Linked DNA regions of Diceros bicornis minor. The protein of the gene in region 2 purifies or fractionates together with the protein of the main gene of each other region. This does not show direct contact. Links are inferred from orthologs where the notes say so. Each region holds a gene or a part of one and is shown on either strand. Other genes may lie near its edges. The genes, in order: CXXC1, WDR82 and SETD1B.

Region 1 (10,588 bases), on a different chromosome or scaffold from region 2:
AAGAGGTAACACTTCCCATCTCATGCTATGAGGCTATTATTACCCTGATACCAAAACTAGACAAAGATATCACAAGAAAATAAAGCTACAGACCAAGATTCCTTATGAATATAAAAACCAATATTCTCAATACATTGCTAGCAAATCAAATCCAACAACATATAAAAAAGATTATACGCAATGACCAAGTGGGATTTATCCCAGGAATGCAAGTATGGTTTAACATACAAAAATCAATCTTTGTAAATATTGATAGAATAAAGGATATTTATAGAATATTTATAGAATAAAGGACAAAACCCATGTGATCTCAAATGACACAGAAAAGCATTTGACAAAATCCTACAGCCTTTCATGATAAAAAGAAAATTACTCAACACACTAAGAATAGAAGGGAGATTCCTGAACCTGATAAAGAGCATCAACAGAAACCAACAGCTAACAACATATTTAATAGTAAAAGATTGAATATTTTCCCTCAAGATCAGGAACAAGACAAAGATATCTACTTTCTGTTTCTAGAGATTTGCCTATTCTGGACATGTCATATAAATGGAATCATATAATATATGGCCTTTTCTGTCTGCTTCTTTTGTTTAGCATAATGTTTTCAATTCATGCATGTTTAGCATGTATGAGTACTTCGTTATTTTTACGGTGGAATAACATTACATTGTATGGATATAACACATTTTGTTCTTCCGTTTGTCAGTCGATGGACATTTGGATTGTTTCCACTTTTTTGGTTATTTGCTGCTATAAACACTGATGTACAAGTTTTTGTGGGGACGTATGTTTTTAATTTATCTTGGGTATATGTCTAGGAGTGGAATTGCCGGGTCAAATGGCAACTTTACTGCCAAACTCGTTTCCAAAGCAGCTGCACCACTTTATACTCCCACCAATGCATGAGGATTCCAATTAGTTCCAAGAGCCAAAATGGTATGGCCAGAGTTGGCTGACTAGACCTGAATAACACTGTAACCTGAGAAAATGTCAAGAGCGGTGAATTACTATAGGTTTCCCCAAAAGTGGAGTCAAGAGTTCTATGTAGTCAATCTGTCAGGATCAGGTGGGGCCAATGTTCCATGTAATGTGGTCTCCTTCACTGTAGACACACGGAAACTTTTGTCAAGAATCACAAACCTGTCGTGCAGTTGTGGCTCCTGCATCAAAAACACAGAGTTCTTTACCTTGTGCCCAGTTCCTGATGGTGGATGCACTGCAGTCTCTGGTGGTGATCTGAGCAGTGCCATCTTGATTGGCAGCTTGATTCCAGTCGATCTCATCAGAGAATATTCCCTTACCATGGGCGTCTACATGAGTGACCAGATGGTCTGATCAACAGCAGGTAGTTCACAGCCCCAAAGAAGAGTGTCTTACTCTGTCAGTCTGTACTCTTAAATGGGAGACCAAATAGCCTAAGAGTCAGTAAAAAAAACAACAGGTTCATGAAGTGGAGTGTTGGCTGGGGCTATGAAAATGGCTTTTGAATTCTTCCCACGGAGCACAGAGACTACACCTGCTTTTGATTCTGGGTAGCTGACAGTGAGATTTAACAGTGGTAGCAGAGTAGCTGCCACCCTTCCATCTAAAGCCAAGATGACCAGAGGGTTAGGTCAACTGCACTCAACAAGCCCTGTCTAGTGAGCCACATCCTATCTGGGAAAGAGATAGCAGTCTTTTCTTCACTCCAGAGAGAGTGAGCAGTGTGAGCACATAAATCCAAAAAACTTAGCATTAGGCCCCTAAATTTGGGGTGGGGGGGCGGTTATCAGCCTCCTGTGGGCAGAGGTATGATAATGCCTTGGGTCACTGACACTAAGGCTTTGACTTGCCAACCAACAGGTTATTATCTATTTAGTGAAAGCTTTGGAATCAGGATAGAAGCACTCGCACTAAATCCTGACCCACCCACTGGTGGCAAGGGCAGGGGAATTTGTCCCATAACACTTTCTACCTGTAGCTCTGTCCTAAAGGGGAGAATCTCCCCTGGAAGTTTATGAGCATTTATAGTACAAGCATATAACACATCAATTTCATTACACATTTGGCAGAGGAAGTTATAACAACAGTAGATTAATTGGCCAGAGGCCTCACCCATATGGTCTCTTTAATGGTCTCTTTTTTTCCTTTTCACTGTGAGTTTTGCCGGAACTCTATCAGGAAATCATGTTACCTTATGGCTGGGAACTTCAGGAGTGCTGGAGGGCAGTGGAGGCCAGGCAGCAGAGGTTGGCCAGCACAGCTGAGGAGCCTTTTTCATCCTTTGGCTCCTTGCCCACAGGATGTCTTTTCCTCCCCTGTGCTTGTCTTCCTTGGTTTGGGAGGAGTCCAGGGCATTCTACCAAGGCTCAGTTAGAAGGCAATAAAGCTTTGCCTACTTGGCCTTTGTGGAGATATATAAGGTCATCAGGGTTCCATGGTATAACTAGTCCCCTGCAATATTGCAAATATTAAACCAATTTTGCATTCTTGGGATCGTTATTCTTGGTATAAATACACTTGCTCATGGTGTATTATCCTTTTTATAAATTGCTGGATTCAATTTGCTAATATTTTGTTATGACTTTTGCATCTGTGTAGTAAAGAATTTAACCCTGTCCAAAGAGAGACCTGGCCTTTGCCCTCCTCGGCTTCTGGCTTCTGGGAGGTAATCTCTAAACCCTTTAATGTCACACCCGACAGGAGTATCTTTGTTTGCCTGGAGGTCTCTTGGTCACTGGATAGTCTAATAAGGTGATTTAAGGTGAGGGATTTGGGTCACATGGTATCAACTCAACCTCCTGAGGGCCTAGAAACTGAGTTCTGGCACACAGGCAGTCAATGGTGCCTATGTAATGGAACACCAATAAAGACTCTAGACATCAAGGCTCAGGTGAGCTTCCCCGGTTGACAATTCTCCATGCATATTGTCACATATCATCACTGGGAGCAGCTAACTCTGTCCATGAATCCTCTGGGAGAGGATAACTGGAAGCTCTGAATTTAGAACCCTCCTGGACTCTGTCTTACTGCTGATTTTAATCTGTATCCTCTCCCTGTGATAACTGTGAGTATAACAGCTTTCAGTGAGTCCTTCTAGCAAGTTAGTTGGGGACCCCCAAACTGGCAATTGGTGTCAGAAGTAGGTATGATCTCCTTACTCTTAAACTTAAACTTAAACCCTTAAATTCTGCAGTGGCCTCAGAAGTAAAGATGGTCTCTTGGAAACTGTTCCTCAAACTTTGCAGGATCTATGCTCATGGGGTATATTGGTCTGTCATTTTCTTTTCTTGTAATGTCTTTGTCTGTTTTGGTATCAGGGAAATGATTCCCAAAATGAATTGGGAAGTATTCCTTCCTCCTCTATTTCCTCAAAGACTTTGCATAGGATTGCTCTTTTTTCCTCCTTAAATATTTGAATTTACTATCAAAACTATTTGGGGGCCGGCCCCCTGGCTTAGGGGTTAAGTGCGCGTGCTCCGATGCTGGTGGCCCGTGTTCGGATCCCAGGCACGCACCGACACACCGCTTGTCCGGCCATGCTGAGGCTGTGTTCCACATACAGCAACTAGAAGGATGTGCAGCTATGACATACAACTATCTACTAGGGCTTTGGGGGAAAAAAATAAAATAAATAAAATTAAAAAAAAAACTATTTGGGCTTCGAGTTTTCTTTGTGGGAAGGTTTTTAATTAGAAATTGAAATAATTTCATAGTGATATGGCTAGTCAAATTTTCCATTTCTTCATGTGTTAGTTTTGGTAAGCTGCCTTTTTCAAGGAATTTGTCTATTTTATCTAAGTAGTCAAATAAATTGTATTAGGTTAGTATAAATGTGTGAATAATAGTCTCTTTTTAATATCTGTAAGATCTGTACTGATGGCTCTTTTTTCACTCATGATGTGGGTAATTTATGTTTTCTCATTGTTTTTTCCTAATTAAATAAATCATATTTAATTTAATAAATTATATTTCAAAATATAGTAATTGAATATAAATTTAGTTAAATCAATTTAATTAATTACATGACTATAAAATTTAGTTTAGTGAATTTGAATTAAAATTTAAATGTGGCAAATTAAATTGAATGAATTAAACTAAATCATATTAAATAAAATGTAATATAATAAATTAAAATTAAAAGATACACAATGACATCAGGGTTGAATAAATTAAATATTAAATTATTTAAACCAAATTACATTTAATAAGTCAAAATTCAATTATGTTAAATTAAATTTGAGTAATTAAATTTAAGTTAAACTTGAGCTATATTCCCTCAAACTTATTTTCATACACTCAATGTTAATTAAATTAAAATTGAATTATATAAAATTCATTAATTGATGTGAAAATAAATTTATCTAAGTACCTTACTAACACATAAAAATTTGATTATACTAGAGTTAATTTAACACATTAAATGAAAAACTAAATTTAAAGAATTAAATTATGTTAATTAAAATAAATTACAATCAAATTAAGATTAATTCGAAATTAATTGATAAATAAAAATGAGAAGTCATGCTGGATCTGAAGGTCTCTGTTTTCTGGATTAAAAACCCCTTTTAAGAGGAGAAGATCACAGAACCTTTGTTGCTGCCCATGTGTCTTGACGTCTGTGATGGTGTGGAAGGGATGGGAAAGAAAAATGTTTAGGAAAGGTGAGGAAAAAAAATCGGACCTCCTAAGCCACGAGCAGCAAAATCATCAGTAACAAATAAGTTGCTACAGTGTCCAGAACCAAGAAATCTAGAAAAACTGTTAGCCACGGGTGAAACATCTCATTCTCCCCAGAATCCTCTCCTCAACCCAAAATAAATACAGTCGTTCTCACTTTGAACATGGACATGTGGACATTTACTATGACCATGATTCCCATATCTAGGAAATAAGTGTTGCATATAAAATAAGTGCACATAAAATAACGCTAACATGTATCTCATTTGACCTCCATGGTCGCCCAGGTTAGATCATTATCCTGCAGAGATATCTAGCTCTCTGACCTGTACAGACTTTTTTTTTTTTGCTGAGGAAGATTCCCCCTTAGCTAACATCAGCTGCAAATCTTCCTCCTTTTTTTTTTTTGTATGTGAGCAGCAGCCCCAGCATGGCACTGACAGACAAATGGTGTATGTCCTGGCCTGAGAACTGAACCCTGGCCACTGATGGGGAGCATGTGGAACTTAACCACTAAGCCACCCAGGCTCTCCCCTCCCCGACTTTTTTTATTGTACACAATTTAAGTTCTTTAAAATAATTTTAAATTAACTTTATTGGAGAGAATATTGAATACTGAATTTGTATGAAACAAGAGAACCAAACTGGACATCACCAGGAACAAGACAAATCTACACTCTGCTGGTGGCAGGATCAGGGGAGAGGTTGGTGAAGACGATTGTCCCTGATTTCAAAATCTACTTTGTTCTGGCCACTTCTCTCACCAGAGGTGATCAGGCCACGATCGCGTCTGGCCTTCTTTCGTCGCTCGGGACTAATTCTGAGGGATGAGAGTGTTCCTGCAAAGGCCCAGAGGCTGAACCGTGCTAGGCCTGGCTGAGCAACTGCAAGGAGAGTGGGAAAGAGTGGCGGGAGGTGGTGTCGGAGATCTAACAGGTGGACTGGTTTCCTTCGCAGCGCAAGGCACACAGTCTTCTGGCGCCCCATTAATACATGTGGAAGGGAAAAGTGATTGAATAGCGGAATGAATACGACTTGATCGAGATAGTATTTCGGGATCGGTCGCTTTCCCTGTGAACTGGGCAGTGCAAGCTGCCGGCGTACGGAATCAACCACCAAGATGGCGGGGCCCTCGAGGAAGCCACGATTAGGACGCTGCCATGTATTGCCTCTGACCGTACAGACTAGGCCATTTTACGGAACCAGATTCCAAGATGGCGGCGTCCTCGTAGAATTCGCGTTGGCGCGGCCATATTGCCTGTAACGTCCGGGCCGTAAAGCAGTCACCGTACGGACTCTACCGACAAGGTGGCGGCGCCCTTGGGAAAGCAGCGTTATAGGCGCGGCCATGTTTCCTGCGAATGTATGGACTCGGATGCCATACAGTATCAGTAGTCAAGATGGCGGCGCCTGAGGGACAGGCGGGGCTCTAGGAGGGGGACCTACTTGTTTGTCGTTGAAGCCGACGCACCGGGCCTGCGCAATAGGAGTACGGTGCCCGGGAGGCGCGACCAGAGGCGGAAGTAGCTGTGGGCGCCTTTGCAACGGCTGCGGACGCTGCCCAGTAGTCTGTGTGGGTTCGCGGGTCGCTGGCGGGGGTCGCGAGGCGGTGCCCCGGGAGCTGAGAGATGGTGAGTACGGGTCCGGGGAGGGGGTCGGCAGTAGAGGTCAGTCGGGTTGGTAATGGTGGGGTCCGTCGGCAGACTCACGGGGGTCTGTGGGGAACCGTAACAGGAGTCTGTGGGCAGAATGGTGCGGCCTGTGGTGAGCCTCAGCAGGGGTCTGTGGGTAGTATGATGGGGGACTGATGGCCTGATTTTTTTTCTGCTGTGTGAGTTTTGTGGGAGTCTGGGAGTTCTGTGATGAGCCATGTGGGGATCCGGAATGGAAGTTTAGTGGGGATCCCTGATTGTAGTTCCGGGGGGCCCCAGATGGGGCTTCTTTAGGCAAAGTGATAAGGGGTTTGCGACGAGCCGTATTGGGCACTCAGTAGTGAGCCATGATGAGTGTATTAGGGGATCCGTAGGGAACCGGGATGGGGGCAGGGTTGTCAGTGGGGTTAATAACGGGAGATCTGTGGAGAGCTGTGTTGGGAAGTGAGTAAATCACGTTGGTGTCTGACAACCTGTGGTGGGGTCTGTGAGGAGCCATTTTGGGGGCAATATGTGGTGAGTGGTAGAGTGTAATGAGCCCTTATGAGTGTGTGGATAGAGTGATGGGGTGTTAGCCGGCTAAGTAATGGGAGATCTGGGGCAGAGTGATGGCGTTTATTAGCAGAGTAACGGGGTGTCAGGGGTGAGTGGTGGGGGAGGTCTGTGGAGACCGTGATGGAGAGGTTTGTGAGGAGCTATGATAGGAGGTCTGTTGGCAGAGTGTTGGGGTCTGTGGTGCGCCATGGCGGAGCTGTAATGGAGGAATGAGACACTATGATGGGCGTTCTCTAAGGAGCCATAATGGGGGACTTCCCACAGGAGGGGGATGGTTCAGACCCAGAGCCTCCAGATGCTGGGGAGGACAGCAAGTCGGAGAATGGGGAGAATGCGCCCATCTACTGCATCTGCCGCAAACCGGACATCAACTGCTTCATGATGTGAGCCGGGGAGAGGTGGGCGGGGCTGACACCTGTCAAGGTTGGGCAAGGCCATAGGTCCGGCCCCTCATATCTCCACCACTCGCCCCATCCTCTGCAGCGGGTGTGACAACTGCAATGAGTGGTTCCATGGGGACTGCATCCGGATCACTGAGAAGATGGCCAAGGCCATCCGCGAGTGGTACTGTCGGGAGTGCCGAGGTGAGGGGGGTGGAAAGGACAGGGCAGGCAAGTGGGACTTCCAGGGAGAAGGAGGAGCCATAATGGGAGGGTGGGTCGTGGGGAGTAGTGATATATGTTCTTGGGCAGAGTGAGTGTTGGTCTGTTGTGAGCTAAAGTGAAGGCTCCATTGTGAGCCATAATGGAGGGTCCCACCAGAGGGGGCAGTTCTGCCCTGGACTAGGGGGACAGAGCAGGTGGGTGGGACAGAAAAGGAGAGAAGAGGAAGAAGAGTTCTGGGACCATCGAAATCCTCCAATGTCACCCCCCGGCTCCCCGCTCTGCTCCATAGAGAAAGACCCCAAGCTGGAGATCCGCTATCGGCACAAGAAGTCACGCGAGCGGGACAGCAATGAGCGAGACGGCAGTGAGCCCCGGGATGAGGGTGGAGGGCGCAAGAGGCCTGCCCCGGATCCGGACCTGCAGCGCCGGGCGGGGTCAGGGACAGGGGTTGGGGCCATGCTTGCTCGGGGCTCTGCTTCGCCCCACAAATCATCTCCACAGCCCTTGGTGGCCACACCCAGCCAGGTGAGTGGCTGCAGTGGCTGGGATAGATAAGGTGATCCCACCTCAGGTCCTACTTGAGTTCCTGATTTCTGTTCTGGGTCCCTCCCCCCAGCATCACCAGCAGCAACAGCAAATCAAACGGTCAGCCCGCATGTGTGGTGAGTGCGAGGCCTGCCGGCGCACTGAGGACTGTGGCCACTGCGACTTCTGCCGGGACATGAAGAAATTTGGGGGCCCCAACAAGATCCGGCAGAAGTGCCGGCTGCGTCAGTGCCAGCTACGGGCCCGGGTGAGCCTGGGTGGAGTTGGGCAGGGTCAGGTGGGGTGGAGGGGGCCAGTGTGTCCAGGAAGAGCTAAAATGGGTGGGCCGGGTGGGGTGGGGCCTAATTGCATACAGACAGGTGGGAAGGAGCCTGGCCTGTCCAGATGAATGGGGCCTGACCAGGTGTGCTGGGCCAGCAGGGGAGCCCCCCAAACCCAGGTGGGCAAGATAGGGCCAGATGTTTCTAGGTGATCAGACATGTCAGGGCAGGGAGGGCAGGGCTGAGCATGTCCTGGTGATGAGGGGAGAAGGGGCAGGTGTGTCTGGGGAAGCAAGGCAGGGCTAGTTGGTGGGGCCAAGCACTTGTGGGAGGGGCTAGGGCAGGGCCACCCTCCATCTACCTGGGGCTGACCTGGGCCTTCCTCCTGCCGGCACAGGAATCGTACAAGTACTTCCCTTCTTCGGTGAGTCCAGCCTCCCAGAGCGGGGCAGGGCATGTGGGCAGGGCAGTCAGGGCCAGTCCTGAGATTCTGCCCTGCAGCTCTCGCCAGTGACACCCTCAGAGTCCCTGCCAAGGCCTCGTCGGCCACTGCCCACACAGCAGCAGCCACAGCCATCACAGAAACCAGGGCGCATCCGTGAGGATGAGGGGGCAGTGGCATCAGCAGCAGTCAAGGAGCCACCTGAGGCTACGGCCACGCCTGAGCCACTCTCAGATGAAGACCTACCACTGGACCCTGACCTATACCAGGACTTCTGTGCAGGGGCCTTTGATGACCATGGCCTGGTGAGCAGGCAGGGTCCCGTGGTGGAAGGGTAGAGGTTACAGAAGTAGAGAGTATCCATAATGAGAAGAGAGAAGGCAGAGGATGTGGAAGGCTGATTTGGGAACTAAATAGTTGGTGGGGTAGTCATGGGTGGTACAGATGGGCCAGTGTCTGCCTCACCTGCAGCCCTGGATGAGCGACACAGAGGAGTCCCCATTCCTGGATCCCGCACTGCGGAAGAGGGCAGTGAAAGTGAAGCATGTGAAGCGTCGGGAGAAGAAGTCTGAGAAGAAGGTGATGGAGAGGGTGAAATGGGTGTGGGAAGGCAGAGGGTAGGGTGGGGAGGGAGAGGCAAAGGCTAGGGGCCGCATGGGGCAAGAGCCAGGAAGGGGTGGAATGCAGGGGGAGATGGGTCTGGGGCAGACTTCAACTCCACCCTGACCTGAACTGCCTTGTCCCATAGAAAGAGGAGAGATACAAGCGGCATCGGCAAAAGCAGAAGCACAAGGACAAATGGAAACACCCGGAGCGTGCTGATGCCAAGGACCCTGCATCGCTACCGCAGTGCCTGGGGCCTGGCTGTGTGCGCCCTGCCCAGCCTGGCTCCAAGTATTGTTCAGACGACTGTGGCATGAAGCTGGCAGCCAAGTGAGTCATTCCTGGGGGGTTCAAGGGACACAGGGAGTACGGGGTAGGGCATGACCAGAGCCTTCTGTATGTCTGCCAGTCACCTGTCCCATTTAGTCAACTAGGCACCCACTTATCCATTCACTCACTCATCCATCTATCTGTTCACCCTTCCATCCACCATTCAGCTCATCCATCTACCACTCAGTCAGCTATCTACTTATCCTTTCACCATTTAGTCACCTATCCATTCTGCCATCCTTGGGTTATCCCACTTACTCATCTTGTTGTTTGCCACCTGCCCACACCCAACCCACTGCCTCCCTGCAGCCGCATCTACGAGATCCTCCCCCAGCGCATCCAGCAGTGGCAGCAGAGCCCCTGCATTGCTGAGGAGCACGGCAAGAAGCTGCTTGAACGTATTCGCCGTGAGCAGCAGAGTGCCCGAACCCGCCTTCAGGAAATGGAGCGCCGATTCCATGAGCTTGAGGCCATCATTCTGCGTGCCAAGCAGCAGGCTGTGCGCGAGGACGAGGAGGTAAGCAAGCACAGGCACAGCAGTGCAGGGCCCAGCACCTGGTCCTGCCCATCCTCATTGTTCCTTCTACCCCATGCAGAGCAATGAGGGTGACAGTGATGACACGGACCTGCAGATCTTTTGCGTCTCCTGTGGGCATCCCATCAACCCACGTGTTGCCTTGCGCCACATGGAGCGCTGCTATGCCAAGGTCAGGTGTTAGCCTGAGGGGTAGGGGACCCTCAGTGGGCCCATGGGCGGTCAGATGTGTCTTCTGGGTCTTGTCTTGGGAGGGCATGCAGCACACATCCACAGTTCCCTCCACTTGTGCTCATCCCTCCAGTATGAGAGCCAGACGTCCTTTGGGTCCATGTACCCCACACGCATTGAGGGGTGAGTGTGGGCGCCACGTGGAATTAGAGGAGGGAGGTTAA
Region 2 (10,019 bases):
TGATTTCAATATATCTTTTGGGGGGACACAATTCAATCCAGAGCAGACCCTTTCCATCTTTCTGCTCTGCCATTCTCAACCTGCTGGCTTGCCTTTGAGATGCTCTCTTCATGGTCAAACCTGGCTACAGCAGTCCCAGGCATCACATCTAGCACAACAGTGTTCCTCAGATGAAGAGGAATCATCTCTTCCTTGTATCTCTCTTTTTGTTTTTTTTTCGTGAGGAAGATCGGCCCTGAGCTAACATCCATGCCAATCGTATTTTTGCTGGGGTAGACTGGCCCTGGGCTAACATCTGTGCCTATCTTCCTCCACTTTATATGAGACGCCGCCACAGCATGGCCTGACAAGTGGTGCCTCGGTCGGTGCACGCCTGGGATCCAAACCCGGGCCGCCAGCAGCGGAGCATGCACACTTAACTGCTATGCCACAGGCCGGCCCCTGTTTTGTTTTTTTGTGTGTGTGTGAGCAAGATCAGCCCTGAGCTAACATCCATGCCAATCCTCTTTTTTTTTTTTTTGCTGAGGAAGACTGGCCCTGGGCGAACATCTGTGCCCATCCTCCTCTACTTTATATGGGACACCACCACAGCATGGTCTGACAAGCAGTGCATCTGTGCATGTCCAGGATCCAAACCTGCGCCACCAGCAGTGGAGCACACGCACTTAACCACTACGCCATGGGGCCGGCCCCACTTGTATCTCTTTTAGAAGCAAAGAAACTTTTCCAAGACCTCCTCCTCCAGCAGACTTCCTCTCATTTCTCATTACCAAAAATTTCATCACATATGCATGCCTAGTCCCATCACTGGGAAGGGGAACAAGACCACTCCTCATGATTGGCTTGGACTAGTAGTTCTCAAATTTGAACATGCATGAGGATCACCTGGAGGGCTTGTTAAACTACAGATTGCTGAGACCAGCCCCACGGCCTAGTGGTTAAGTTCAGGGCACTCCGCTTTGGCAGCCGGGTTTGGTTCCCAGGCACAGACCTGCACCACTTGTCAGCAGCCATGTTGTGGCACCAACCAACATACTAAATAGAGGAAGGTTGGCATGGATGTTAGCTCAGGGCGAATCGTCCTGAGCGAAAAAAGATAAGAAAAAAGTTTAAAAAAAAAAAAACAGTTAATATTTAAACAAAATGCAAATTGCTGGGCTCCACCCCTAGACCTTCGGGTTCAGCAGGTCTGGTGTGAGAATGAATTTTTGATGAGTTCCAAGGTGAAGCTGATGCTGTTGGTCCAGGGACCACACTATGAGAAGTTTAAACTAATCAGGATTTATCTCAGAGCACTGGGCTCAACTCTTGGCAAATACACTGCCACTCAGAGGAGGAAGGATACCTGAACAAAATCAGGATTCCATCAGAAAGGAGCAAGAGGAGAAAACTGTTGGGTAGGTAACCATTAATGTCTGCCACAGAGTGACCAAAGAACAGTTAGGAAGAGACAAGAAGGAGTGTGTCCAGAGAGGTGAGAGGAAAGTCAGAATGGAATGATGTCAAGGGAGCCATGGAGAAGCGATTTAGGAAGAGAGTGGTCAACGCTGTTAATGTCATAGATATGGCCAGGAAGATAAACACTGAAAAGTGACTACTGGATTGGGCAACTAGAAGATCTTTGTTGATCTTAGCAAGAGCAGTTTTATTTTGAAGATGACACATGGGAACAGTTCTATAGAATACAAAGTTATTTACATATCATTATCTGCTACTGATGCCAAATGCTAGAACTAATTCCTAGTGTTGAGACTGGTTTTCCTGGAATCCAGGTAAATAGGTGAGTGATAAGAGGAGGCAATGGAGTTTTGATTCACTGCTGAACAGTGAAATAAGTTTACTGAGACATAACTCAGTGTTCTGAGCTCAAATTTCAAACACAGCCACATCCAAAGTCCTAAATTACAGACATGAGGTCATGGTTATGGAGGAAAAGGTTTGCACATCCTTATCTATTTTCCAGTCCACACATCATTCTCCATGTATGTTCAGATATGTCTACTTACCCATCAATTCCCACCCACTCTTCTCTATTTATGCATGTTTATTGTCTAGCTTCACATATATATGTAGTTATCTACAGATAAATCTAGGTTCTGCCACTTGCTACTGGAATACCTCTCTTAGCCTCTATTTGCACATCTTTGAAATAGAGATAATAATTGCATCTCTCATAGAGTTGTTGTGAGGATTGAGATGATGTGTATAAGTAAAAATGTGTATATAATTGTTATTATGTGTATTCTGTTATGTGTATGATAACTGTTATTTTGGCTACACATGCTTCACTTTCTCCACGTGTAACATCACCAGCTAGTGATTGATTCCTAAGTGTCAGATGAGCAGTTTTTAAAGTATATTTATACTGTATGATTCCAACTGTATGACATTCTGGAAAAGGCAAAACTATGGAGACAGTAAAAAGATCAGTGGTTGACAGGAGTTGGGAGCTGGGGAAGGATGAATAGGCAGAGCACAGAGGATTTTTAGGGCTGTGAAAACACTCTTTATGATAACATAAGGATGGATACGTGCCATTACACATTTGTCTAAACCCATAGAATGTACAACACCAAGAGTGAATCCTAATGCAAGCTATGGACTTAGGGTGATTATGATGTGTCAATGCAGGTTCATCCATTGTAACAAATATACCACTCTGGCAGAAGATGTTGATAACGGAGGAGGCTATGCATTTGGGGACAGGGTTATATGGGAAATCTCTGTACCTTCCTCTTAACTGCTCTAAAAAAATTAAGTCTTTAAAAAAAGAGAGAGAAAAAAATGGGAAAAAAATAAATGGACCAATCAAATATCTGGAATCCTTTGACTAAATTCATTTATTCAATTAACAAAATATATTGAGGGCTGGCCCAGTGGGCTTATCGGTTAAGTGCGCACACTCCGCTACTGGCAGCCCAGGTTTGGATCCCGGGCGCGCACTGACGCACCACTTCTCCAGCCATGCTGAGGCCGTGTCCCACATACAGCAACTAGAAGGATGTGCAACTATGACATGCAACTATCTACTGGGGCTTTGGGGAAGAAAAAAAAGGAGGAGGATTGGCAATAGACGTTAGCTCAGAGCCGGTCTTCCTCAGCAAAAAGAGGAGGATTAGCACGGATGTTAGCGCAGGGCTGATCTCCCTCACACACACACAAAAACAATATATATTGAGGGAGACCCTGGCTGGGCTCTAGATACAACGGGAAGCAAAATTAACTTACAAACACATGGTGGAATAGTATGTAGCTATTCAAAATGATTGTGTAGTTCTGTATTTATTGACCTGGAAGATGTTCATAGTATTATATGAAAAGGATAGGTTATAAATAATATTATATTATGAACCCATTAAAAATATATTTCAGGGGAAAAAATCTGACAAGTTCTACATCAAAATGGTAAAATGTATGTTATGTATATTTTGCCATAATAAAAACAAATGTAACAGTAGCTACTTCTGGATGCTATGTTTGTTTTTTTATTGCTTATTTGTATTTTTTAGTTTTTCTGCAATAGATGTGTATTTACTTGTGTGAAAATTAAGTAAATAAAAGAAATCATGATTAAAAGGAAAGGAAAAATAAAAAATTAAGTCTGATGCTCCTTAAGGCAATCTGATTCACTTCTGACTACAGCTTACCCCTCCATTCACCTCCCACAGGAGCCACTCTTTCTGGTTTTTTTAAAGTCCAGCCTTTAAGGCACTGTTGGATCGGAAGCCAGGAGAGCCCCACTATAACAGAGCAGGGAGCCAGGCCAGAAATGTGTAACAGTGAGAATGTGAAACAGGCTGAGGCATTTCAGGTTGCTCTTAAAATATGAAAAAATGACTTTTTCCATTCCAAACATAATTCAGGAAGTCAAGTCTTCGGAGGAAGCTTCAGTCGGTCTTAGTGAAATCTGGGAAAGGTACAAGAAGTACAAAACTTGAAAGATACCCTGCAAAGATTTCTTTTGGCTGACAACGTTCAGTAGATTATGGCTATTTCTGTGGTTATTTTTGTAGGTTAAGAAGGACCAAAAAACGGTATCTCACTGAGTGTATTCACTTCCCAACAGTTTCAGGACATGGCCCCGATCTGTCCTTGTTGCCATTTCACTATTCAAAGCAGGCTCTACATCAGCCTTTCTAGCTTGTGAAATAAAGAAGCAGGAATTGCAGGGAAGTGAGTGCTCTGGGGCATGGAGGACTTTTCTTTCGTCACTTTGCAGTTTGGAAGGTTGCCATCCATTCGCATTTCACTCAGACAGGCTTTTTCCAGATCCCAGAACAAATTGTACCCAGAAGCTCTACTCTTTATCAGGAGGCAATTGAAGCCCTGACTTGGGCAGGATCTTGCCCTCTCCCCTCAGAGAACAACTTTTCTTTATGAGTAGGGATCCTGGCTCTTCTTTTACCCAGGGGATGGGACACAACCCTTAGTTCTTTCCAGAAAGACCCCCAACTGTCCCAGGGTTTGTTTTGTTTTTACCATTGTCCAGGTAATGTCTGGATCTTTGGATAGCACATCTTCCTAATATCAGCGATTGAAATATTTTACAGTCTTTCCTCTTTGTTTTGCTTCCTCTTTAGCCACTGCATTTTAGTGAAGAAAATAAATAGGCCTCTGTCTTCGTTGTTGGAGACTCCAAGCAATTAACCTTTTGAGGAGCTGTGCACAAGTTAGAGATCTATGAAGTCTCATAGGCTGCATGGAGTTTTAACCCCTTGCCCAGAAAGTTAAAGCCATGGAGCGTGGTACCTATTCTGTGATCAGATATTGCTTTCCTTTGTTAGGGATCAACTTTCTTCCTTTTAAGGTTAAGAATCCCTTATATGAAACTCTGAAACAATCCCATTGACTATGAGTACATAGTCACATTGACTATGACTGTTGTACATCTTGAATGTGGTGGTTGGTGCTTGCATGACTGTATATGGGTGTCAAAATTAATGAAACTATCCATTAAAAAGGCTGATGTTCACTGTACATAAATTATACCTCGATTAAGAACACCAACAACAATCCTGTTTAGTAACATGGAAAAATGTGTAAGACACAATACTAAAGCAGGAAAAAAAAATGGTTGCATCTATAAAGTTTATGTAGATATATGAATAAGGAGGAGGAAGTCGGGAGAATTTAAAACTTCTATTTTGTTGAATAATGAGATAATCTTCCCTTTTAAAAATTTCTTTGTAATGATCCTATGAGTTTTGGAGCTGAAAATATATTTTAAAACTTAAAGATAAGTATTTATAAAAATGTGTTGAGCTGTACACAAAATTAGTTCACCTTATGCACTTTACGTTATATATCAATTTAAAAGTTTTTAAAGAAGGCTTAAAGAAAAGTTCTGGGTGGTGGTCACAAGGATGTAGTATATCCAAATGAAAAAAAATTCATCCACTTAAAATTTGGGCAGCCTACCGTATATTATACCTCAATAAAAAAATACAGAAATTGAAACTCCATGCTGGCGCTGTGGTGCACGAGCGGCCAAAGCCCGCCAGTGATGGGATGACTGACTCCGCCCCAGAACAAGCCTCCAGGGGCGTAGGCGACCCCCGCAGTACCTGCTCTCGCGTGGCTCTCGGTTAGGGGGCCTGCAGGCGGCGCCCGAGTGTCTCAGGGGGTTGCGATCCCGCACACAGGCCCACGACTCCGGGGAACCAGCGGCCCTCGAGCTCAACTGGAAAGGTGGTGTGCATCCCCACCCCTCCCGCCCCACCCCACAGCGCGCTGGGGAATCGCTGCGCCGGACCACCCAGCCACTCCACTCCTCGCCGGCAGCGCTGACGCCACCAGCCCGCCTCCCCTCCTCGCGCCGCCGTTCCCGCCCCGCCCCCTTTCCCGGCGTGCGCCGCGGTGAGGCTTCTCGCCCTCAGCTTCTGCCTGTCGCCGCAAGATGGCGGACACAATGAGCCGGCGCCGCGCCGGTTGGCCCTGAAGCGAGTGTGGCGAGGAACTGTCGGCGAGGCCCCATAGTGCAGGCAGAAGAGCGTTGCACGAGCAGGAGCACGGAGAGGAGGGGGTGGCCTGACTGTCGGCTCCCCACCCGCTCGCCGCCGGCGCGGCGCCCGCCCCGCCCGGGTCGGCTCCTCGGCAGCCCGCCCGCTCGCCGCCGGGCCCCGCCCCGGCCCTGTGCCGCCGCCGCCGCCTCCAGCCGCCGCCGCCATGAAGCTGACCGACAGCGTGCTGCGGAGCTTCCGCGTCGCCAAAGTCTTCCGCGAGAACTCGGACAAGATTAACTGCTTCGACTTCAGCCCCAACGGCGAGACGGTCATCTCGAGCAGCGACGACGACTCCATCGTGCTCTATGACTGCCAGGAGGGCAAGTGAGTGCGGCGGCGGCCCCGGCCCGGGTCTGTGTCCCCTCCCTCTCGGGGCCCAGCGCCCGCCGCGGCCCGCCCTCCGCCCCGCTCCGGCCCCGGCCTGTTTTGCACTCGCTCCTGCCAGGGCCGCTTCCACTCCGAAGCTGTCCAGGAGACCTTTTCCTGTTCAAATAATGATAGTAATATTATTATTTTGTATGTCTTCGGTGTCCCCAGAGAAGGCTTCTGCATCGCCTGCCAAACCCCACCTTGACCTTGACCTTTAAACGCCGGGTCCGCCCATCCCGGCCTGGCAGGTAGCTCTCCGGCTCTGTCAGAGCTACCGTCGGCGCGGGCCCCGCACGGAGCCCCGGACTGCTCTCCCGCCTCGTTCGGCGTCAGCTCGCTCCCGCTGCCCACTCCTCCGTGACCTCGATTCCGCCTGGCACTCTGCCCGGCCCTGCCCCTCCGCTTCCCGCGGCCTTTCCGCCAGAAGGCCGCGCGGGTTGCACTTCTTAGCTGTCAGGATCCGTTTGTTGTGCCTCTTTGGGCCCCCATTCTTTTTCTTTCTGTTCCAAATCGTTCTCTGACTCCCTCAGACCCGATGCCCGCTTTTCTAGTTAACTTTTTTACAGCATCTGAAAAACTTTTCCTTTCTGCCAGACACAAACGAGCTTGGCCGCCCCATTCCGACCTGAATGTGAACCTCCCATTAGAACAAAGAAAGCATCGTATAACAATTTCGTGTTTCCTCTTACACTTTTAAAAAAAATTATACTTTATGACCCACTCGGATTTATCAAAATTCCGAGTCTGATCATGAAATTTCTATGTTGCTCCAAGTCTTCTGCAGACCCACTACACCTGCATCTCTGCAAAATCTTATAAGCACAGCATTTTGCCTTTTTCCCTCAGGACCTTGTCAGCTTCACCTCACCCTTGTAGACTTGTTTTCTCCAAGTCCTTGTTAAATTGCGAGCTCCTTTGGAGCAGCAACTGGTTTAGGCTAAATTTGATTTCTCCTCAGCCGCCTTCCACAAGCAGGCTTGGGATGTTTGGTTTAATTTGGTGGGTACTGGTTTTGTCAGACTTCATTTTGTTACTTAGTTCCAGATCTTATTTTTTGAATCCTTGAGTTTTTCTCTATCTTCTATAGCTGGTCCCTTTCCGTTTTTTTTTTTTTTTACCGACGTCTTCTATAAACTTTCTTTTGGAACTTGTCTCTTCATTTGTGAATTTGATTATCTAAAGTAATGCTGTTTTGGTCTGAGCTATAATACCCTACACAGTTTTTTCCCACTGGGGCTATGAAGAAGTATTATATAACTGGCTCTGTACCTGCCTGCAGTATGTGGAAGAGTGGCTGACCTATAGTGGTGGTTCTGGGGAAAGAGAGATGTTAGCTGGACGGATGCTGAGTTATTTGAATCAATATTATTCATTTAGTAGGTGGATGTCTGTCCAGGTCTGGCCACTTGAATCAGCTTGGAAGAGAGAGTAACGTGTAAAGCTGAGGTGGGGTTGGAGTTGTGGGGTCCTGGAGCTAGAAGTAATTCGAAGCTGGCTTGCTTGAAATATTTTTTGCTTGTGCACAGATTAGAACCTCTCCCTGGAACCTGAGGGTGGAGATGCATATCGTTATTCAAAGGAAATGAAGGTTATGATAGCATTCCCTCACAGCTTGTCTCCAAATGGGGCATAATTTTGACTTGTTGGGAGGGATGACAGTGACTTGAAGTCCTGTCTTGTTAAAAGTAAAATGTTAATTTTATGAAAAAATGCAGTTTATTTAGTCATGTAGCGTTTTTTACATAATTACAGACTTAAAGAAAAGTTACAACAATGTTTCAAAGAACTCTCATATGACCCAGTAATTGGTTACATTTTGCTCCCTTTGCTTTATCTTTCTCTGTGTAAATATTTATAGGTATGCATATTTTTTCCTGAATCGTTAGAGAATAAGTTGAAGGTATCGAGCCCGTTTATCCCTAAACACTTCAACATGGATTTCCTAAGCACAAGGACATTCTCTTAAGTAACCGGAGCAAAGTTATCCAAATTAGGAAATTTAATATTGATACAATAGTGTAGGACATGCTCTTTTAAATTTTCCCTTATCAATTAATTGTGACCTTTTTTCATGGTGATCTGTGGCAACAGTGGCCTGGTAATTAGGAGACCTGGGTTCTAGTTTGGCCTTGTGACCAGGTATATGACATTGATCAGATCACTTCCCTGGATATTAGAGGACCTCTTTAGCCTTTAGGAGCCCATGATTCTAAGTGGTAACATGAAGAAAAAATTTGCCACTAGTGTAGGTAAAACCAGCATTGGAAGACAAGTAATGTTCCCTGGAAGTCATAGTATCTTTTTAGATGGTACTAATGTTAGAATTTGGGAGTTTGAAAATGGCTAAAACAGGATTCTTGATGCTTAATATTTTCCAGTTAACTGTTCATTTAAACTTTCTTTATAATGGAGTTCATCCATTGAGTGATTTTTCGACTTGAAAGAATATAAAGGGTATTATCTGTGGTAGGTGATGCAAATTATTCAAAAAGAAGGCTTTAATATTATTTATTCATACCTGATCACCAGGATCATGGTTTGTGGAAAGCACCTTACCAAAATATTTGTGAAAAAATGTTGTGCATGAGCTTTGTAAAGATCCTCTGAAATGGATGCAATACATTTGGATCTTACTTTCAAACTTGGAAATGATAATGAGGTAAAAGAGTTCTATTATTAAAAACAAATTTCAGGTTAGTGTTATTGATAAATTTGAGACAAATAGGTCATATATAAGTGAAACTAAAAATTTTCTTTACACCACGCCCTTTAACCTTGTCTCTTCTGGCTCTGTCTTCACTATTTTCTTTTCTTTTATTTATTTATTTATTTTATAATTTTATTTATTGATTTTTCCCCCAAAGCCCCAGTAGATAGTTGTATGTCATAGTTGCACATCCTTCACATCCTTCTAGTTGCTGTATGTGGGACGTGGCCTCAGCATGGCTGGAGAAGCGGTGCGTTGGTGCGCGCCCGGATCCGAACCCTGGCCGGCCCTATTTTATTTTTTTTTATTATTTTTTTTATATATATTTTTTTCCCCCAAAGCCCCAGTAGATAGTTGTATGTCATAGCTGCACATCCTTCTAGTTGCTGTATGTGGGACGCGGCCTCAGCATGGCCGGACAAGCGGTGCGTCAGTGCGCGGCCGGGATCCGAACCCGGGTCGCCAGCAGCGGAGCGCGCACTTAACCGCTAAGCCACGGGGCCTGGCCCTGTCTTCACTATTTTAGACTGAAATACTAGGATAAGTAAGCTGCTCTTTCCACTGGTAGAAGCAAAGTCAATTATCTTTTGAGAGTGAGCACACGTACACGCTCTCAGACTCGCTCACTCACTCGCTGGTTACCACGTAGTAACCCGATGGCAGAACTCAGGATGGTGGACTCGACAAGGTAGCCTTTGAGCTGATCATTTTAGTTGATCTTTCAGTAAAGGTAAGAATGTAGAAAATTCAGTGCATTTGGAGTGAGAAGTTTTGTTTGGATAGGTTTTACGTAGGGAAACCCTTGACCTCACTGACATTAACAAAAATTGAAAGTGCAAATGATTGACCTCGTAAAGCTGCCTGAGTCATCTGATTGTTTAGCATCTAGGTTCCAAGAGGATTTTACCGTGAGAGGGTGAACTTTTTTTTTTTTTTTTTGC
Region 3 (9,954 bases), on a different chromosome or scaffold from region 2:
CACAGGTTGGCATCCCTGTGGGTCCCTGAGACCCCAAGCCTGGGGAAACTGTGTGACCCTGACCAGCTCCCCATCTCTTTGCACCTTACTCAGGAGTCTCATCTGTTCAACAAAGCTGCTCGACTATATGATTTGTCTGATCCCGAGATTCAGAATTTAATGCCTCGTGGGGCTGGGACTCCCCCAAATACAGAAAGGCCACCTCCAACACAAAGCCCCTTCCTGTCACCTGGGCCGTGGCACCCAAAAAAAGAGTCAGGTCTTCCCTGTCCCCTCGCCTTCCCACTTAATAGCCAGGGCCCTGTAGCAAGTGGAGAGGAGACTGGTGACACAGAGGTGACAGCTTGTTGTTAACTCTCCAGAGCCAGGGGACCAGCAGAGTTTGTAAAACACTCTCTAGCACCACGTTCCTGTGAACTCCATGTGCCTCCTCCTCTGACCAGGATCCCCGGCTCTGCCGGTCCCACGGAGCCCTGTCTGGTAGCCCTCCTCCCCCCAGCAGAGAGAGGCCTCTGCAGACCAGGGGGCCCCAGATTATCGATATTTATAGAGCCCTCTGAGGCAGCTGCTTACATATGCAAAGGAGACGCATTCCTTGAGCTACTCTTTACACTTTACCGGTCTCTTTCTTGAAATACAAACTTAGTTGGCAGCCTCTGAGGGCTCCCCTGTTTTTTTTGCAGAAATGAAATTTTGGTGAGAGCTGACAGCAGCCACCCAAGGGATATGTAGATTTGAAAGGGTCCATACTCCCCCCAACAGAGATTGAGAAGCTAGAGAAGGGGGGTCAGGGGGCTGTGGCTTGGGCAGGAACCTGGATTGTACCCTGAAGGAGACTCAGAATTAGCGACGGGCTTGGCAAGAGTTTGTGGGATAACCTTGCCAGCCCAGGACCAGCTTCCTTCCACAACCCCCAGAAAGGTCTTAAGAGACTCAGTCAACATGTACTCATTATTAAAGACAAAAAAAGAAAGGTTTAGATTTTCCTGTCTGGGGTTTGGTGTGCCCTGGGTGCCCCTAAACCCCATGCTCACAAAACCCCTGGAAGCCACCCACCTAAGCCCTCCCAGGGGACCCCCAGGAGCTTTGGACCCAACAGTGTCTGCCCAGTCACAGGGCTGGCTGGTCCTCAGAGCACCTGGCACCTTCTTCTCTATCAGTGGGAACTTCCCTAGAGAAGCCACAGGCAAACTTTGGGGGATGCCCTAGAGTTCTTCAAGCCCCTCCAGCCAGCGTCCAGGAGGAGCCTCCCAGGACCCTGAGGGTGGGAGGTATGGCCTCCCCAGCCCAGCTCTCCCCGATTCTCCCGGCAGCCACTCAGAGTGAGTACAGAGTGAGATTCCGGTGCATGGGAGGTGGTGCTGTCTCTTTAAGAGAGAGGAGGGAAGACACAGTGTCAACCCTTGAGCACCCAGAGCAGCCCTCCCCACTCTATGGAACATGATCAATGAAACCACACTCTGGGCCCAGATTGGTTCCCACTTCCAAGGGGAAAGGGACCCTGGATCCTTAGAGGACTCTCTTTTTAGTCCAGGGACCTACTCTTTATGTATTTAACGGCATCCTGGTGGCTCTCCCTCAGCCCCCCACAAATAAACAAACACTGCCTCCTCCCCTAACACAGTTAGCAACACTGGGGACTGTCTCAACCCAGGCCACCAGGGCTGGGAGAGGGGCCCACGGGGGTGTCAGCAGTGGGGAAGCCTCCGGGTGGTCCCTGGGGGTGCAGTGGCCAAGGACTGGCACATTTGGTAAATTATAGCTTGTCTCCTAGCAACAGACAACACATTTAGCTCCACGTGACTCTACCCTCAGGAGGGGGAAAAATACAATTGGTAGGGGGCCCCCAAGGAAGAGTCAGGGGGTCCCCAACACTGCAGGAGGGGCTTTGGGAGGGAAAAGGGTCACATGGACAGGTCCCGGGGCTCCTCGGCAGTGGGCAGTCCGCAGCCGGCCTCCAACTCACCTTTGGTGTCCAGCTCCACGTGGATGATATTGCCCATGACGGAAGTGCTGTGCAGGTGCTGAACCGCCTCCTTGGCTCCCCTGACCGTGGCAAAGACCACCTTGGCAATGCCCAAGTGCTTCTTGGTCTTGGGGTTGTACAAAATCTCCACCTCCTCCACCTCCCCATACTTCTTGCACATGTCCCTCAGGAAGTTTTCGCGGATGTTATCATTCAGCTTGGCAAATGTCACCTGCTTCGGAGGCACCGGGCCCACATAGAACTCATCGATCTGGCAGGGGACGAGGGGGAAGGGAGTTTGCAGAACATTGAAACCGAAGGGAAAACACGACATTCCCCACTCGCCTGCCCGTTGAAAACAATGAAGGGGAAAAAATAAAAAAATTTTTGGGGGAAAAAAAAAATGCAGGCGGGCGGGCCCGGGAAGCGGAGGATTAAATCGTTTGGAACGTGGAAGTCCTCTGGGTTCGAAAGGAAAGGGGAAAAAGAAACAGTTTCTCTTTCCCCACCCCCCATTCTGGCCTCCTCTCCCTGCTGCCGGGTCAGGGGCGATCCCTGGGGCTAGGAAGCTGTCCCCCTAAAGCCACAAGGCTGGGAAGGGGGGCGGGTCCCGGGGCTGAGTCCCCGGGCTGGCAGGAGGCAGGTGGGGACCCGGAGCCCCCAGCTGGGCGGACAGCACACTGTATCAGCGCCCTGCTTAGTTTCACCGAGTGTTTACAGCAGCCCAGAGGGGACACCCTCTCGCAGCCGTCCCCCCCGGCCCCGCCAAAACTTCCCGGCCCGGACGGCGGGAACTCAGAATCCGGCTGGGCTCGGCCAGGACTGGCGTTATTTTCGAACTCGCGGCGCGGGGAGGGGGGGGCGAGCGCGGGTCAGGGGGAGGGGTCCTGCCTTGAATTTGGGCACCGACAGCTCCAGCTCCTTGTTTTTGGTCCAGATCCCGACGACCCGGGGATCTTCGACGATGTCCACCGGGCGGTTGCTGGACATCTGCGGGGAGGAACGGGGGGCGGAATGGGAGGGCTGGTCCCGCTCCCGGGGCCGGGGCAGACCCCCCTTCTCCAGGCACTTGTCAAACTCCGGCTGACAGTTGGCCCGGCGGTCGGGAGGGGGCCCCGGGCTGCTCGGACCCCGCTCCCGGGCCGGGCCGGGTGGGTGGGTGGGGGCGGCGGGGCGGCGCGCCGGCTACTCACCGCCAGGCTGAAATGCTGCCCATCGTAGCGGTACAGTTTATGATGCCCCTTCTTCAGAGCCGGGTCAATCATCAACTTGTAACTTCTCCAATGGTGGTTCCTCCTCTCGCCCGAAGGGCCGGGCTGCGGCGGGGGCTGCTGGTGGTGGTGGTGGGGGGGGTGACTGTTCTCCATGCCGTTAACCCAACCTGAAATCGAGCAAGTTGTTGTCGTCTCCGCCGCGGCGGCGGCGGCCGCTCTACACACACGCGAGAGAATCAAATCGTCCAGCCCCCACCCCCTCCCACCTTACCAGCGCGCCCCAAAAGGAGCTGTCTCGCTGGCTCCCCCCAAAATAAGAATGGAGCGAGAGAATAACCCTTCCGGGAGAATTAGGCGCCCGCCCGCTCGGCCACCGTCTCGGGGCGGCAGCGAGGGGCTCCCGGGGGCCCCCGGTGCGGGCTGGCGGCGCCCGGGGCGCCCGGAGGACGCGGGCTCCGGCCCATGGTGCCCGCCCGGCCGCCCGGCCGCCCGGCGTGGCGCTCGCTCGCTCGCTCGGCCCGGCTCGGGCGCGGGGCTCGCGGCAGGCCTGGCGCCGCCCGCCCGCCCGCCCGCGCGCTCGGCCGGGGCCGGGGCTGGGGGCTCGGGCTGCCCGGCTGCCGGCCGCGGCCTCTCCCCCCTGGGCCGCGCTTACATCCCCGCCGGGCGCCGGCCTCCCTGCGCCGCCAGCCAGTACATGGTGTCCCCCGCGGGAGCCGAGGCCGGGGCGGCCGGACGGGGGGCCGGGACGGGGGGGCGCCGCCGCCGCGGCTGCCGGGCCCGGAGCTGCTGCCGCCGCCGCTGCTGCTGCTGCTGCTGCTGCCCGGGAGGCGGCTGGCGGCGGAGGCTCGGCTCCCAGTAGCCGCACATCCCACAATACACCGCTAAGGAGCCCGACCCGAGCGCTCACCCTCCTCCTCTTCCTCCTCCTCCTCCTCCTCTTCCTCCTCCCCTCTCCTTCCTCGCCGCTTCCCCAGGCACTCTCCCGGCGGCGGCAGCTGCGCCGCCAAAGCCCCGGGCCCCAGCGGCCCCCCACCCCTCACTCGCGCGCTCCCACACTGCCTCCCCCCTCCCCGGGGGAAGGCCTTTTAATTTATTTATTCTGCTGGGACTTAGGTGGGGGGCTTGGCTGGCGGGGGAGGGGGTCTCCCCAGGCTCTACCTCCCGCGGCTGGGGCTACCCTCCGAGCCGCGGCCGCCGCGGCGTGCACCTCGGGCCTCCAAAACTGTTTCCAAACTGCCGAGACCGGAGGTGGGCGCGCGGGGGCTCCGGGGGAAGGGCCGGGTTTTGGGGTGTGTATATGTGTGGGATTGTGTCTTTGGACGCTGGGAGCCGTGGGGAGAGGCAAGACGACTCAAGACGAGTTGCAATCGAGGTATCTCAGCGCCGGCTTCCTCTTCTGCCCCGCGACCCCCTCCCCCCTGGAGCTGAGCTGGGGAGGGGAAACCAGGATTTTAACCAAATTAGCATTCACATTCCTGGGAGGATGCAGCCCTCGCCTGGACCTGGGTGATAGAAGCTTCTTTCTGTTTTTATTTTTGGAGAGGAGCGCCCTGTAATTGTCTTGAACACATGCTTCTGTCTCCCCCCCCTCCTTCTTCCTCCAGCCACCAGCGGAGGAGAGAGTCCCCCTTTTTTGCATTTATCTTTTCCTTCCCCTTTCTTTATTAAAGGTCCGGGAGTGGCGGCGGCCAATCAGCGCGCGGCTTCCATTTTGTGAGTTCAACTCCGAGGCTCCCGGGCTTCGCGAGGACGCATTTGCAGCCCCCTCTGCCTCTCCTCTCGGGCGGCCGAGGCGAAGGAGCCGCCTCGCCGGGGCTTCGTGGTGGTGTATTTCATATTGGGGCTCTTTTCGGGGTTTGTAATTTGGCCGTGGGTAGGTAATTGGCTGGAGCAGGGCGGCAGGGCGCGGCAGCCAATCAGCGCGCGGCTTCTATAGGGCTTGAGTTATTAGACGCTGGTCTCAAAACATCCTTCATCAGACACCAAGGAGAGGCCAACAGATGAGGGGAGCCATTTTTCTGCAATGGAATTAAATGGCCAAGTGGGTTTTTCCTTTGTTGCAAATGGGGAATGTTTTTCCTTTGACTCCACCATCCAGTTCAGGACGCCTCAGTGTTCTGTTTAACATTTGTCAACAGGCTAAAGGACTCACAATTGGAAGAATGAAGAAGACTTTTTAAAAAGATCTGGATTTTTCCTTATGACTTGGAATCCATCTTTGTCTTGTATAACTAGGTCATAGCACACCATTAATGTCAGCAGTTAACAATTTTGAATTCCAAAAAACCTAAGTAAATGACATATTTAATTTTTTTTCCTCTTTTTTTCTTGGGTGGGTGGGGGGAGCTTGGAGCTGTCTTAATCTGTATTCTCTTGACTGAACAATAAATTTTTAAATATATATAGTTTCCTCTATTAAACACTTAAACCTGGCCATCTTATTAACTCCTTCTGCTCTCTTTTTAACAAGGTAATGTTTTAAATGTATAGTTTTAGGACTAGCGAAATGGCAGCAACAAAAAAATTGTAAGCAATTGTTACTTTTAAGTTTCTAAAAACCTTTTACATTGTAAGTACCCAATCCATTCTGTCCTTACGCAGTGCAGTTTTCATGTTAATGTTGCTGAGATGTCCTTAATTTTCTGAACCTTCATCTGCATGTATGTCTTTGTCGCTCTTGTCTAATATAAGCCAGTTAAAATGCTTTTAGACGATTTTGCTTTTATAAAGCTAAGGTTTTTTAGCTTTAAGCTTTTGAAAATGTTTACAGCCATAAATGCTAGTCAGCTTTCTTCCCAGTAACATGTACACTTTCTTTGAAAATCGATCTATTTGAAGAAAAACAGCTCTGTTTTTGTCGTCTTGGTAGGGGAGTGGGTGAGGGAAAGGAAGACCTTCTCTTTGTGTAAAGAGACTAAAGCCGTCACAGGAAACTAGATTAAAACTGGAAAACAAGTCCTAGCTGGTTCGAGCCAAACACCAACGTTAACGCGGGTATTTTCTATGGTGGTTGGGATGGCCGGTGCGTCTTATGCCTTTTGTTTGATTTGACTGTGTATTTTCGCCTTTTGTCTCTTAATGACGGTCACACCATTGCTATATCCAGAGCAGTAAACAGTCCTGCGAAGCCGCCTTTTGCCAACCCAACCCTGGAAAGTTTGCAGAAGTGGAAGGAGCAGAAAATGCCATGAGAGTGTAACTTACAAAAAGGTAACAGCAACAAAAAAAGACACCACCATTCCCTCAAATATTCCCAACTAAACAATCCCCCCAAAAGATATTCAAAACCTCCGCCCCGCTTGATCTTCCAGACTCCATGGCACCGGGCTGAGCGGGTGAGTAAAAAAAAAAAAATGCCTTTTGCCCCTTCGAGGAAATCTTTTTTCGAGCAGGCCAAGGGCTGCAAATGTTTGGGAGCTGAGGAGAGAAGGAGGTTTCTGGAGCTTTATGTTTGGCAGCCGGATCGGGGAGGGGTAGGGGGACAAGGTGGGCTCTTCAAACCCTTTTGCCCCTTCTGCCCCGGAGGCGAGAGGAGGGCCTCCCCAGCGACCTCGGGCGTCCACGGGGTCGCCTGCGCTCGTCCCCCTCGCTTTTCTAGGTCTGAGCCTTGGTGTGGAGAAGAAATTAAAGTGCTTTGCAAAGGAGGGGCTCAAAAGACAGGGAAACCCACTCCCCCCCAGCCCAGGGCCTCGTTCCCTTTTGATTGGGGGGGGTCTCGCCCTCCGAAGCCGGCTTTCCGGGGCTCCGGGGCGCGCCTGCACTTCCTAAGCAAAAAGGACAAAGGCCGGCGTCCATGTTGGCACCATGACGCAGCATCTCTCGCGCCTGCAGCCCGCGCGCTGCCTGTGCTCCCGGCCGCGCTCGCTCCTCCCTGCCCAACTCGAGTTTTATTTTCAGGTTCAGAGCGGAGCCGCGGCCGGGGCCGGGCCGGGGCTGGCGGGCGGGCCGGCCAGGCTGCGGTGGCTAATGGCGGCCGCTCTCTTCCTGCCTCCCTCTTTCCCCGGTGGGCGTTGAGAGCCCGGCGCAGGTGGCGGCCCCTCGGCCGGGCCGGGCCCCGAGAGCCCGCAGCGCATAGCGCCCCGGGCCGGGGGGTGGTCGCGGAGGCCGTGTCGGGGGCCGCGGGCCCGGGGGCGTCGCGCGCCGCAGCTCCCGCGCTCACCTCCGCCCGGCGAGGCGGCCAGACGGGCGCCATTTCGCGCGCCGCCCGCGGCTCGGGCGGTGGCGGCCGCCGCGCGCCAGGCGGGAGGAGGGAGGAGGCGGCGGGCCGGGGGGAGGGGAGGCCGCCGCCTGCGAGGACGCCCCTGGCCCCGAGGCCTCGACGGCGGGCGCGGGCTCCGCCGCTGCCTCGGACCCCGCGCCCGACTCGGGGCCCCACGCGGGCACGAGGCCTCGCGCCCAAGCCGGGCGGCGGGGGCCCTTCCTCCTCCCGCGCGCGAGCCAGTAGCAGAGGGCCACGGGGCCGGGGAGGGCCTCGAGGCCGCCCCCTGACCCCGACCCGCTCCTCCGGAGGCCGCGGAAGCCTCCCCCGCGCCCCGGCCCTGCCCCCGGGCCGTCCTCGCTGCCCACCCGGGCCTGGGCGCCCATGTCTGGCTCCCAGGCGTCCTTGGATAGCCGAGCCCGAGGGGCGGAGAGCCCCTTTGTCCCCACTTTGGGTGTGAGGCCCTCAAGGAGGCCGCCGACGCCCCGATTTGGCCGCCCGCGGCACGCCCTCCACCCCGAGGCTCTAGAGCTGTGGTGGGGGTTGGGGCCTGGGAAGGCTGAGCGGGCCTTCCCCGGGATCCCCCGAGGCGGAGGGCTCTGGGGTAAACCCTCACATCTCCGGCCCTTCCTGGGGGAGGGGATGCGGACTGGGCGGGCCTTTGGAAATGCAGATGAGTCGCCTCCTGCTGCTTGTCGCCCGGGTTGAACCCTGGTGACTCAGCCACCCCCCCTCCTATCCCTTCCAGAGTGAGGGCCGCCTTGGGAGCTGGGAAGGGGGGACGGCATTTGTAAGGCTCCCCTTCCCTCAAAGACATCCTCTCCGGTTTGTGTTCCTCAACTCCCTAACAGACCTTCCGACTTTCCCCCTAGGCTCTTGTCCGGAGAAGGGGCAACCGACCTGGTGCCCCCAGAGTGGACAGTCCTCCTTTGGACAGCCGGAGCAGGCCTAGTATGACTCGGACAATCCTCCCACTAAGGTAGGTGTGAGCCCTTTCCCAGGCTGCGAGGGAGATTTGGGGGGCGTTGGCCTGGAGCCCAGGGAGGGCGGGCACCCCAAACCCGCTAGGCTGGTTCGGCAGCCCCTCCCCCACACAGATGTGTGGGACCGTGTGTGTGAAATCGGCTGCCTGCTGGGCCTGCTCGGTCCATCCATCCCCGCCTGTCAGCTTCTGTTGTCAGGAGTTTGGGGCGTGCAATTCTCGGCCGTATTTAGCAGCATAGGAGAGGCTGCACTTGCAAGTATTTCCCAGTTGTGTGTTTGCTGGTGGGGGGAGGGCTCTGAAAGCCTCTTACTTCTGAAAGGCCCAGGCGGCTGCCAGGAAGTCTGGCCCTCCCTTCCGGCCCCCAGTGGGGACGTGTAGGGTGACTGTATGAGCCGGCCTCTAGTGTCAGGCTGCTAGGGAGGTAAACAGAAGGACCTGAGAACTGGGTCACCTTCCTCTGAGGAGGTTTCTTGATTCGTCTCCCCCTTCTGGGAATTCCCATGATTCCCTCCCCAGCCCCCACCCCAAAAGAGCCCTCTTTCTAGAATCGGACGAATCCGGGTTTGAAACCTGGCTAGCCATTCACCTGCTGTGACTTTGCATAAGCTGCTCAGTCTCTCTTTCCCCATCTGCACAAATGGGGCTCCGTCACTGAGTCCCGAACTTGAGTGTGCATCCGAATCATGGGGGCAGGAGGAGGGTGGTAATTGGAACTGATTTTGGGCCCGCTCCTCGAGTTTCTGATTCAGTCGGTGGGGCCTGAGAACTTGTATTTCTAACAGCATCAGCTCACCTGGGAACACATTTTGAGAACCTTTGGGCTTGGTAACATCTGGGGTGTCGCGAGGAAGATGTAAGCTCACGCACTTGGAGCCCCCAGCTCAGTGCTTGGCACAGAGTTGTTAGCTTGGTGACGACGGCAACTCTCTCCCGTTTCTAACACAAGCTGACTGCGCACAGTTCCATCCTCTTTTGTCTCCAGGAAGCTCCACAGCTGGAGACGCTATGGCCCTTGATCTCAGGCCCCTCCCCCATGTGATCTCTAGTTTGAGATTACTTTGATGAACCATTTGGGTCCAGGTGCTGCTGATCCACAGGGCCCTCCTGATTTGGGCCGCAGCTTGGCTTCCGTGTGGGATCAGCCCTGCCCACTATTACCCCACCCCTCAGTGTGAGGGCTAAACTGACGTTTGGGGGAACCTGTAGAGCTTGACCCAGGCGTCTTGGTGCTTAATCAAGGGAGGCTCTAAGTCAGGTGGCCGTGGGCTTGAATCTCGCCGTGCTGGTGAACCTTGGGCAAGTCTCCCAAGTGAAATGATAATGATGGATGCTGCAAAGGGTGGAGGGAGGATTAAGTGCGATTAAGGGGGCCGGCCTCACATTCAGGCTTCACACTAGTTGGCTTCCATTCCAGTGTGGCTGCAGGGAGTGGGGGCTGGGCTGTCTTGGGCTCCTCCCCCACCGGCCCGCCCCCAGCACGTGGCAAAGCCTCAGGGCAAAGGGAACACTGGCTTTTGGCAGGCGGGGAGCCAGCACAGTTTTTCCTCCTGTGTAGTTTGAGTTGGGATGGTGGCCTGTCCCCAGCTCCACA

The links.
Region 1: the proteins of WDR82 (region 2) and CXXC1 purify together in Homo sapiens (affinity purification with western blotting; 7 studies listed by BioGRID and IntAct, with this or other methods). This does not show direct contact. The link is inferred for Diceros bicornis minor from reciprocal best matches to the Homo sapiens genes WDR82 and CXXC1.
Region 3: the proteins of WDR82 (region 2) and SETD1B purify together in Homo sapiens (affinity purification with western blotting; 4 studies listed by BioGRID, with this or other methods). This does not show direct contact. The link is inferred for Diceros bicornis minor from reciprocal best matches to the Homo sapiens genes WDR82 and SETD1B.

The regions. Positions count from the first base shown.
Region 1 is NC_080755.1:42,776,740-42,787,327, reverse strand, and holds the start of CXXC1 (CXXC-type zinc finger protein 1), read left to right. Parts: upstream 1-6,162; 5' UTR 6,163-6,293; coding exon 6,294-6,296; intron 6,297-7,136; coding exon 7,137-7,255; intron 7,256-7,355; coding exon 7,356-7,456; intron 7,457-7,766; coding exon 7,767-8,002; intron 8,003-8,093; coding exon 8,094-8,270; intron 8,271-8,680; coding exon 8,681-8,707; intron 8,708-8,784; coding exon 8,785-9,030; intron 9,031-9,196; coding exon 9,197-9,304; intron 9,305-9,473; coding exon 9,474-9,658; intron 9,659-9,967; coding exon 9,968-10,175; intron 10,176-10,254; coding exon 10,255-10,365; intron 10,366-10,497; coding exon 10,498-10,547; intron 10,548-10,588. UniProt on the Homo sapiens protein: Transcriptional activator that exhibits a unique DNA binding specificity for CpG unmethylated motifs with a preference for CpGG.
Region 2 is NC_080741.1:52,931,763-52,941,781, reverse strand, and holds the start of WDR82 (WD repeat-containing protein 82), read left to right. Parts: upstream 1-5,880; 5' UTR 5,881-6,165; coding exon 6,166-6,326; intron 6,327-10,019. UniProt on the Homo sapiens protein: Regulatory component of the SET1/COMPASS complex implicated in the tethering of this complex to transcriptional start sites of active genes.
Region 3 is NC_080774.1:8,198,611-8,208,564, forward strand, and holds the start of SETD1B (histone-lysine N-methyltransferase SETD1B), read right to left. Parts: upstream 4,042-9,954; 5' UTR 3,833-4,041; intron 3,601-3,832; exon of another isoform or gene 3,452-3,600; intron 3,348-3,451; 5' UTR 3,334-3,347; coding exon 3,160-3,333; intron 2,957-3,159; coding exon 2,858-2,956; intron 2,238-2,857; coding exon 1,967-2,237; intron 1-1,966. UniProt on the Homo sapiens protein: Histone methyltransferase that catalyzes methyl group transfer from S-adenosyl-L-methionine to the epsilon-amino group of 'Lys-4' of histone H3 (H3K4) via a non-processive mechanism.